Kluyveromyces lactis: one gene and its partners. The protein of the gene in region 2 purifies or fractionates together with the protein of the main gene of each other region. This does not show direct contact. Links are inferred from orthologs where the notes say so. Each region holds a gene or a part of one and is shown on either strand. Other genes may lie near its edges. The genes, in order: DBP2, KLLA0_A04730g and RBG1.

What was found.
Region 1: the proteins of KLLA0_A04730g (region 2) and DBP2 purify together in Saccharomyces cerevisiae (affinity purification with mass spectrometry; 3 studies listed by BioGRID, with this or other methods). This does not show direct contact. The link is inferred for Kluyveromyces lactis from reciprocal best matches to the Saccharomyces cerevisiae genes TIF4631 and DBP2.
Region 3: the proteins of KLLA0_A04730g (region 2) and RBG1 purify together in Saccharomyces cerevisiae (affinity purification with mass spectrometry, with the first as the bait; 3 studies listed by BioGRID). This does not show direct contact. The link is inferred for Kluyveromyces lactis from reciprocal best matches to the Saccharomyces cerevisiae genes TIF4631 and RBG1.

The regions. Positions count from the first base shown.
Region 1 is NC_006042.1:2,215,625-2,219,380, reverse strand, and holds the start of DBP2 (DEAD-box ATP-dependent RNA helicase DBP2), read left to right. Parts: upstream 1-1,251; coding exon 1,252-2,524; intron 2,525-3,535; coding exon 3,536-3,756. Other genes in the region: DNA-directed RNA polymerase core subunit RPC19, read left to right, coding at 443-826. UniProt on the Saccharomyces cerevisiae protein: ATP-dependent RNA helicase involved nonsense-mediated mRNA decay and ribosome biogenesis through rRNA processing. Associates directly with chromatin, correlating with transcriptional activity.
Region 2 is NC_006037.1:422,441-426,196, forward strand, and holds the start of KLLA0_A04730g (uncharacterized protein), read right to left. Parts: upstream 2,489-3,756; coding exon 1-2,488. Other genes in the region: proteasome regulatory particle base subunit RPT6, read right to left, coding at 3,170-3,756. UniProt on the Saccharomyces cerevisiae protein: Component of the eIF4F complex, which interacts with the mRNA cap structure and serves as an initial point of assembly for the translation apparatus.
Region 3 is NC_006042.1:2,172,665-2,175,766, reverse strand, and holds RBG1 (GTP-binding protein RBG1), read right to left. Parts: upstream 1,678-3,102; coding exon 568-1,677; downstream 1-567. Other genes in the region: FUN12 (translation initiation factor eIF5B), read left to right, coding at 2,339-3,102. UniProt on the Saccharomyces cerevisiae protein: Involved in ribosomal function.

The DNA of each region.
Region 1 (3,756 bases), on a different chromosome or scaffold from region 2:
TGTTATGCTAATTCTGTAACGGCCTCCCCTGATGATTTTTGCCAAGGGACTTTGGGTATGTCTCGCTTTGGTCGCATTTTCTCATTTCTTTTAGTTTACTTTGCTTTTTGTTCGGGATCCGTTGTTTATATACTATGGTGTGGTACCCTGAGCGTGGCTATGAGCAACACCTGTGCATTGCGCGGTAACTGATGAAGTGTGTGACACGTGATCTGGTATTTCGCATCAACTTGCTTCTTTCAGTTACCCGGTCAAGACCGGGTAAGCTTTTTGTTTTTTCCTTTAGCATGATTTGGTTTTCCCTCTTCTCTCTATCGAAAAAACCATAATCAATATTGACAAATTGTTCAGCTTAACAGAGTAGGTCATCTCGTCTTATTGACTGTTTGAAAGAAGTACGCACAAACCACCTAAGTGACCATTCATAAGCGCTCTCGGAAATATGGCTGAAGTGGAAAAGCAAGATGTTGATATGCTAGCAGCTGAACAAAATGATCAAGTTGATCAAGTGGAGGAAGAAGTGGACAGTGAAAAGATCAAACTTCTCACAGAAGCTACTTCCGAAGATGGTACTAGTGCTTCTTTCAGAATAACAGATGAAGATCATACCCTTGGTAACACGCTTCGTTATATGATCATGAAAAACCCGGAGGTAGAATTCTGTGGTTACTCTATTCCTCATCCTTCAGAAAACTTTTTGCACATTAGAATTCAAACATACGGCAAAATTACTGCTGTAGAGGCTTTGCACAAGGGTCTTGGAGATCTAATGGACATGTGTGATGCTGTAGAGGACAGATTCACGCAAAGAATCAGGGAAATGTAGAAATTGGTTATCTCCAGCTCCCGCATTAACTATATATAAGAGAATAGAATTAAATACACAACTACATCATCCTTGTATAATACACTATAATATCTATTGATTCTACGTTTATAGCTACTGGTAATCTAGCACATTGGAAGCACCGTTGGATATACCATTGGCAAAAGTAGCTGGAGTGGCTAATGTAATCACGTGACCATTTTGGTAAATTGGTACATTGGTACAAATTTCTTTTTCTCTCTTTTTTGTTTCTTTTTGAAAAATTTGCAAGTTCCCTCATCGCCCTTTGAAACTAATATATAAGCTGCAAACATTATTCAAACCTGTCTCTGATCCTCGTTCATTCAGTATTACAAGTGTGCATTTTTTTTTATCGTTTGGTTCTCAACATCAAGCAACTTATTTCACACATTATACAGAGAACAATGAGTTTCGGCGGTGGAAGAGATCATCAATTTAACAGAAACAACATGGGCAGCACTCATGGTGACTTCCGTGGTAGCAGAGGTTCTGACAGAAACAGCTACAACAGAGGTAATGACTTCCGCGGTGGCCGTAGCTTTGGTCGTGGTCCATCTCGTGATACCAGAGTTGATTTGGTCGCTCCAAACTGGGACGAAGAACTACCAAATTTGCCAGTTTTCGAAAAGAATTTTTACCAAGAACATCCAGATGTTGCTCAAATGAGTGAAAGTGAAGTTATCGAATTTAGAAAGGAAAACGAAATGACCATTTCTGGTCATGACGTTCCAAAACCTATCAGAAGTTTTGATGAAGCTGGTTTCCCATCTTATGTCTTGGATGAAGTTAAGCAAGAAGGTTTCGCCAAACCAACTGGTATTCAATGCCAAGGTTGGCCTATGGCTTTGTCTGGTAGAGATATGATTGGTGTCGCTGCGACCGGTTCCGGTAAGACCTTATCATACTGTTTACCAGGTATCGTTCATATTAATGCTCAACCTTTGCTATCTCCAGGTGATGGTCCAATTGTTTTGGTATTGGCTCCAACCAGAGAATTAGCTGTTCAAATTCAAAAAGAATGTTCCAAATTTGGTGCTTCCTCTAGAATTAGAAACACTTGTGTCTATGGTGGTGTTCCAAAGTCTCAACAAATCAGAGATTTACAGAGAGGTGTAGAAATCCTGATTGCTACTCCAGGTAGATTGATTGACATGTTGGAAATTGGTAAGACAAACTTGAAAAGAGTCACTTACCTTGTCTTGGATGAAGCTGATAGAATGTTGGATATGGGTTTCGAACCTCAAATCAGAAAAATTGTCGATCAAATTAGACCTGATAGACAAACTTTGATGTGGTCCGCTACTTGGCCAAAGGAAGTTAAACAATTGGCAAGTGACTATTTGCATGATCCAATTCAAGTTCAAATTGGTTCTTTGGAATTGTCTGCATCCCACACAATCACTCAGATCGTCGAAGTCCTTACTGATTTCGAAAAGAGAGATAGATTGGCCAAGCATTTGGAAACCGCTTCTCAAGATCAAGACTCCAAGATCATCATTTTTGCTTCCACTAAGAGAACTTGTGATGAGATCACTTCTTATTTGAGAACTGAAGGCTGGCCAGCTTTGGCCATTCACGGTGACAAGGCTCAGAACGAGCGTGATTGGGTTTTGGCTGAGTTTAGGTCCGGTAGATCTCCTATCATGGTAGCAACTGATGTTGCTGCTAGAGGTATTGGTATGTTATTGAAATTTAATTTTTTCAGCATTGGTTTGAACTTTAGTTTACATTGAGACTATCGTCAAACCTTTCTACTAACTATATTAGACAACTGTCGAAGTCATTTCTTTCGAAATGATCACGATATGCCTTTTTATTCGAATGACACGGATGTTTTCGATTCAAAGGTAAAAAATAATGAGCTGGTCTTATTATTTATCAACGAAATCCTATTGGATTTGGTGCGGACAGAGAAAAGGATATGAAAATACTTTTCATTTTGACTTCCACAATTATTGATAAAGATTTAGAGACTTGACCAGTCCGATGTGATTTGATTTATTCAGATCTCTAGAATTAAAAGTAGATTGGCAAGCTTACTAGTATTCATGACAATCAGGTTTTGATTGGACCGTTGGGTTCGAATGTGTGGTGAAGTAGCTTTTACACAACGTGGTTTTCTCGTTGCATTGAAGGCTGTGATGAATTACCGGACATTCGATACTTTTTCTAATCATGTTATCAATTTGACATCTCTTTGATGCAATTTTGCTGAAAGATGTTCTTTATTTTTAACATGATCGTTTGAGTTAGATCAGATTCGCGTATCATTAATTGTGCTTAGTAGTAGATTGGAACATGAACCTAATGAAATAAGGATTCATTCATTTTAACAAAGAGGTTAAAGAATTAAAAAACTGATAAAATAGCGTCACAGGATGGTTTCCCTGTTATGCAAAGTGTGCATTCAGTTTTATTTTTGCGATTCCTCTTAGTAGTTGTTCCATGTATTCTATGAAGTTAGAAAGAAAAGTACATATTTGCGACATAAGCAAGCCTTACATAAATCTTTGTCTTCCACCGACTATTCTGACATGAATAAGCCGCGCGGGCTAATGTTATAATAAATCGTTGATTGCGCCCTCTGGATTTTATATTCTCATTTGGAAGTGCTTCGAACTTGTGCTGTCAATATAGTTACCATTACGATTTACGAACGAACTTACTAACTTCATTCTTATTCAACAGACGTCAAGGGTATTAATTACGTTATCAATTACGATATGCCAGGCAACATCGAAGATTATGTGCATAGAATTGGTAGAACTGGTAGAGCCGGTTCTACTGGTACTGCCATCTCCTTCTTCACTGAAGGCAATAAATCTCTGGGTGCTGCTTTGATCAAGATTATGAGAGAAGCTAAACAAGATATTCCAGAAGAACTAAGAAGATACGACAGGGGTCAATAC
Region 2 (3,756 bases):
TCATTAGTCTCTTGAAACAGAAGAAGACCATTCTGGAAGTCAATAAGTTCGAACGGTACAAGAAACCAATGAAACGAACCAAACCCAAACCTCTTCTCTTAGCGGCAGCCATCTTATAGTATTCATCGGACATCATTTCAGGTTGTAGAGGAGTACCGTCTTCGTTTGTAGGTAGTTGATCAGTCCATCCTGTTTGGAATTCAGTTTGACATCTTTGGACTAAGTAATGCAAAACCAAGTGAGAACCAGTCTTATCTGGGGTTTCTGAGTCTTTAATGCTATCATCTAAGTCTTTAACGACCTTACCACATAATTGCGCGTACATTGATGACCAATGAGGTTCATCGCAGGCCTTATTGAAAATTTGTTGGATGACAATCTTCAAAGTCTCACCCTTTTCTTCCCATCTAGATTGGTTAGCGATCTTCATGATATCATCAGAAATAGGTTCGAACATTTCTAATGTCAATTTATTCAGCAATGACTTCATCTTTCTTGATGCTTCTTCCGCGTCGTAAAGTTCTGTTCCGTCTGGAGCTAACTTGACTTCTGTTTTCTTCATCTTAGATTTAGGAACCCATCTATTAGCACTTGGGACCAATGGGGCAACCTCAACCTTTGGCTCTTCGACTTCTTCCTCTCTGAATCTTTCACGGTCCTTTCTGGAAGTGTATGATCTATTAGATTTTCTATCATCCCTCTTTGACTTCTTCTTCGAGTTGGACCTGGAACCCGATCTGCCTTCACTTCTTAGAGATCCAACCTTACCCTTACTAAATCTATCTTCGCCTCTTCCGCTTGAACCAGGCTTCTTAGGAGGGATGACAATTTTACTCGTCATTTCAGCCATCCACGCTGGATCGTATTTAACATCGACCTTTTCTTTGAACTGATACAAGAAATCAGGTCCGTATGCATATTTAATGCTTGTCTTTTTATATCTATCATTTGGAGGCGTAATGTCACTTGGGTATTGGAAGGAATAAATATCATCAACTGGAGAAACCTCTTTCAACTTCTGTAGGAAATCGGTCATGGTAATCTTTCCATCGTCTTCAACTTCAGCCTCTTCTCGAGGTTTTGTTTCAACATCAGCAGGAGTTTCAACGGGACCAGCAGGAGCCGGTTCACCTTCTTCGGCGTTTGCTTCAGTTGCTGTTTCTTCAGTTGCTGTTTCTTCAGTCTTTGGTTCTGCAGGCTTTGATTCTTCCGATTTTGGTTCTTCAGTCTTTAATACCTCGGTTTTTGGCTCTTCAGTTTTTGATTCTTCCGACTTTGGTTCATCTGACTTTGGTTGTTCAGTCGTCGGTTCCTCGGTCTTTGGTTCTTCAGGCTTTGGTTCTTCCGCCTTTGATTCTTCCGCCTTAGGTTCTTCAGTCTTTAGTTCCTCGGACTTTGTTTCTTCAGTCTTTAGCTCCTCGGTCTTTGTTTCTTCAGGCTTAGATTCTTCAGTCTTTAGCTCCTCGGTCTTTGTTTCTTCAGGCTTAGATTCTTCAGTCTTTAGTTCCTCGGTCTTAGCAGAAGCTTGCTTTGCAGCTTCCATCCTCTTAAGTCTCAATTTTTCGGCCAAAGTCAATGGTTTTGGCTCAGCTGGAGCCTCTTCCTTAGTCTTTTCTTGTGATTCTGATTGAGCTTCTTCAGACTTGGCAGATTCAGTGGCTGTAGGCCCTGTCTTAGTATCAACGCTTGCATCAGTGTCAGTTCCAACGACAGATTCCTTCGGTTCCTCAGGACCCTTCTCTTCGACAGCCTTCTTAGCAGCTAAAGCAGCCTTGCGTCTTTTAACTTGTTCCAAGAAATCGTTCACAATTAAAGTGTCCTTCTTTGGTTCTTCAGGCTTAGCTGGAGATTGTTCCTTACCATTAGCAGCAGGGCTCTGTACTTTGACAGCTGGAGAAGCTGATGGAGACACAGAGGATGATACAGCAGCAGCGACGGTAACGTTAGCTGGAGGCGACACTACTGGAACTGCACGCGAATGAGATTGAGAATGAGAATGAGTATGTGGATGAGCAATGGAAGCAATATCTATGTGTTCACCAGACTTGTTAGTAATCTCAACCTTCGCTGGTTTAGCTGAAACAGCAGCTGGAGACACTACTGGGGGGACATAACCTTGTCCGCTCATTGGAGTCTGGTAAGCAGCAGCGTACAGCTGTTGCTGCTGTTGGTACTGGTTATAGTACAGAGGGTTGTACTCTGCCGATACGCCGTAGTTCGGAATGTATCCCGCAGAAACACCGTACGCTGGTTGGTTATACTTTTGATAGTGCTTATTCGAGGAAGAACCATTATTATTGTTGTTGTTACCTCTTTGGTTATAAGGCCTAGAGTTCTTCCTGTTACCATCATATTTCCCATTTCTAGGAGCACCGCTTCCAGCAGTATTCTTGACATATCCACTGTTTTTTTGCGGAGAACTGGTTGTCTCCTCCTGCACAACTGGAGCTTCAACAGCTGGTTGCTGATCGGATGTAGGTTCGCCCATATCTGCTTTGAAAAACCGCTCTTTCTCTCTTCTTCAGATGAAATTAGCTGGATCTAAGCTCTTTTCTGTTTAATTTCTCTCTTGTAACCGAGTAATCCAGAGTACCTAGAGAAAACGAGTCGAGTTATATAGAAACACGAATGAGTAGAATGAAATTAAAGTCCAATTCTTAACTCTTTCTCTTTAAACAAATAAACGAAGAACAAAAAAAAATTATCACTTTCTTGTGAGATTCTTTTTTTCCCAGATTTGTTTCTTTACTGTCCACTGTTACTCTCTAACAATTCAAACAATACAAGTGCTGATAAATCTATTGACTATCAGATCAGCAGTAGCTCTCTGTGCCTCTTTTCCTCTATCCTGTTTTATGCAAAATGTGCTATCGTAATGGTAAAATTCAATGGCTTAAAGGTTGAAATTTTATTTCAAAAGATTCACAGCTTTTCCTCTTTACAATGTAAAAATTTTTTTTTTCTTCTTTCGTGTATATTGAGAAGATTGACATGATGGTCAAGTTTATGACGAGATGAGATGCGATGAGGGGGAAAAAGAGAGGATCTGATTAGAAACATATTGACACGGGGGTACAACCACAGGCGTGTGTTGTACGTGGCTTATGTATAATATGTAGGGATGTATCTAATGATATGCGCTGTTTGAGATGAAAGGGGTGAAGGATCCTTACTTGAACAATTTTGCTACAGAGATAGCAGTTTCGTCGTTCTTGTTCATGACCTTGGCCACGGCTAGTTCAAAATCTTCTTGGGTTACGTGAATTCTACGTTCCCTTAGTGCGTACATACCAGCCTCGGTACAAACACCTTTAACGTCAGCTCCAGAGCATCCGTTCATCTTTTCGGCGACTTTCCTTAGGTTAATACCACGGGTCAAGTTCATCTTTCTTGAGTGGATTCTTAGAATCTCTGTTCTAGCCGCTACGGTTGGTGGTGGGAATTCGATTTTTCTATCAATTCTACCTGGTCTTAGCAATGCAGGGTCCAATATATCCAATCTGTTTGTAGCCATGATGATTTTAATGTTTTTCGAAGTTTCAAACCCGTCCAATTGATTCAACAATTCCAACATGGTTCTTTGCACTTCGGAATCACCACCGCCAGATCCTTCAACACGACTGGAACCGATAGAATCGATTTCGTCCATGAAAATGATAGAAGGCGCATGTTCTCTAGCCATCACGAATAACTCACGGACCATACGGGAACCTTCACCGATATATTTTTGCACCAATTCGGCACCACTTACTCTGA
Region 3 (3,102 bases), on a different chromosome or scaffold from region 2:
TATTTCTCTGCGAATTTATCCGTTATTCAATGGAATACACTCTCATCAGTAGGCTGCATTTTCCTCCAGATTTCCTTGTTTGTTAATTCAAGCTGTACTATATCGCACCTTAAAAGGATTCATTAAAATACTGCTGTGATTTTGAGGATTCCACCAATACTATTCACATTCATTTCTAATAGAATAATATTCACTTCGTCAAATAACCGAAGTTTCATTCATTCATTCTTTCTTTCCATATCACCATCAGCATCCATCATTGCTTTTATATCTTAACATATATGTTGGCCAATATAAAAAGGCCATATGTATCCGTTGCTATCGATTTCACAAAATATCATATATTTACTACTATTTATGAATTTAAACATAACACGACAAATCAGTATTGAGTTAATGTTTAACAGAAGTTATGGCAACCTGAGTAATGAACGTTTACGATAATCTAACCAGATCCGTCTATGGAAAGCTGTTAAATAAAATGGATAACACTACATGAAAATGCGATGAAAATGCTAAAAACTATGATGACGGTGAGAAGAATGAGAAAAAAAAAGTAGCCTGTATTCATTTCTTCAAAATTGTGACAACATCTTCATCTTCTAATGTGTGATTAAGCCCCACATATTGAGGTTGATGCTTCACACTGCTGCCGTACACTAAAGCATTTCTGAAGTCCTCAACTAAAGATTTGTGAATTTGGTTACAGAAATCTCTTACGGTACACCTATCCGACCTTAACACCACTGGGTCTGTGAAATCAGGCATCGTACCCTTTGGCTTAGTATAAACACGGACTAAGTTTAGTCTATCCCACATAACTTCTAGTAGTTCATCCAAATTCCATTCCTTACCAGAAGAGATTGGAACTGCATTTGGAATTCTGTATAAAAGTTCCAATTCTTCTAATGACAAAGAATCTATCTTGTTTAGCACATAAATAGCTGGCATATACCTTCTTGATGGAGCTTCAAGTACATCAATCAAATCATCGACGGTGGCATCACATCTGAAAGCAAGCTCCGCACTGTTGATTCTATATTCACTCATAACAGCTCTAATTTCGTCCGGGCCTAGATGCGTCAATGGTACTGTATTTGTAATGGAGATACCACCTTTTTCCTTTTTCTTGATTAAAATGTCTGGAGGTTGCTTGTTCAAACGGATACCAACACCTTCCAATTCCTTTTCAATGATTTGTTTATGATGCAATGGTTTATTAACGTCCAAAACAATAAATAGTAGATTACAAGTTCTGGCCACAGCGATAACTTGTTTACCACGACCACGGCCATCTTTAGCACCGTCAATGATACCCGGCAAATCCAACATTTGAATCTTAGCACCCTTATATTTGATGACACCTGGAACCGTAACTAAAGTGGTAAACTCGTACTCAGCAGCCTCAGATTCTGTACCAGTCAGCTTAGAAAGTAAAGTACTCTTACCCACTGAGGGGAACCCAACAAATCCGACTGAAGCAACACCGGTCCTGGCCACATCGAAACCAACACCGGCACCACCACCACTACCGCTTGAAGCAGCCTGCAATAACTCTCTTCTAAGTTTCGCTAGCTTAGCTTTCAACTGACCCAAATGAAAAGAAGTGGCCTTATTCTTTTGGGTACGGGCCATCTCATCTTCGATGGCCTTAATCTTCTCTACTGTCGTAGACATCTTTTATTTCAATTCAGATATTGATCAGGAAATTCTTCAAAATAAATCCTTTTTTTATAATTTGATGCCAACCTCAGTGGAATACTGACTGATACCTATCGATTCCAACCGTTTAACTGATTTTGGCCTCTGTAACCAAACTATAATGAAACTCTAATATCATTAATCCTAAGCGATGAGATTGTGAATATCTGTAGAACTTCCTACTGTTGACAAAGATGAAGCTGTCAATTTTTTTCAAGCCGTCCAAGGTGATATTTTATACATCTTCAACGCCGATCGTAAATAGCGATGCTGAATGGCATCGACCGGTCTTCACCCCGAAAATAAGGCTAATGGGACCTTTCTGGCCCCTGAAAGATGAATTTTGGGCGCACCTCACCAAAGACAGGGTAATCTAGTATGTTATTTTTTTCTTTCCATCGAGGTACGTATAATCATGAACTTGAAGTTTTTCATCAGTTTTTTATTTTTTAGTACAGGTTTTTCTCACAACTTAAAACTATTTGAAAGATTGTTTTGCGTAAGATCAATTAAAAGGATTTTACATTATCTCTTTACTTGTTATAACCCTCTTTTACACTTTGTTTGCTGTCTATCATAATAAGATTTCGGAAGAACTGTAAAAGTAGAACCTTTGTATCCGAAAGAGTAGTTCAAGATGGCGAAAAAATCAAAGAAGAATCAACAGAATTACTGGGACGAAGAGTATGAGGAAGATGTTCCTCAAGAATCTTCAGTAGAACCCTCGATAGATGGTTCTGTTGAGCCAAGTGGTGAAACCGAAGTTGCCGATGCATCTGCCATTGAGGAAGATTTTATGTCCACTTTGAAGAAATCTAAGAAGAAGCTGGACAAGAAGGAAGACGAGGATACTAAGAAGCCAGTCTTGAAGTCCAAGAAGGAAAAGGAAAAGGAAAAGAAGGAGAAGGAGAAGGAGAAGAAGAGGGAACAAGCCGCAAAGAAGAAGGCTCAGCAACAAGCGCAGAAGGAAAACAACAAGAAACTTCATGCTGAACAAACTTCTAAACTGAAGGCTGAAAAGGAGGCTGGCAAGTCCACTGAAGGTGCGGCACCAAAGGCTGCACCAAAGAAGAAGGTCCCAGCCGGTCTTGCTGCTTTGAAACGTCAATTGGAGTTACAAAAGCAGCTAGAAGAAGAAGAAAGGTTGGCCAGGGAAGAAGAAGAGAGATTGGAGAAGGAAGAAGAAGAAAAGTTGGCCAAGGCTGAACAAGAAAAGGAAGAAGCTAGAAAGGCTAAGCGTGAGAGAGAACAAGCTAAGCGTGAAAAGTTAAAGGCAGAGGGTAAACTTCTAACTAAGAAACAAAAGGAGGAAAAGAAACTGCTTGAAAACAGACGTGCTGCTCTATTGGCTGCCGGTAACATCAAGGTTGCTGGTCTAGAAAAATCCGGCGATGAGCATCC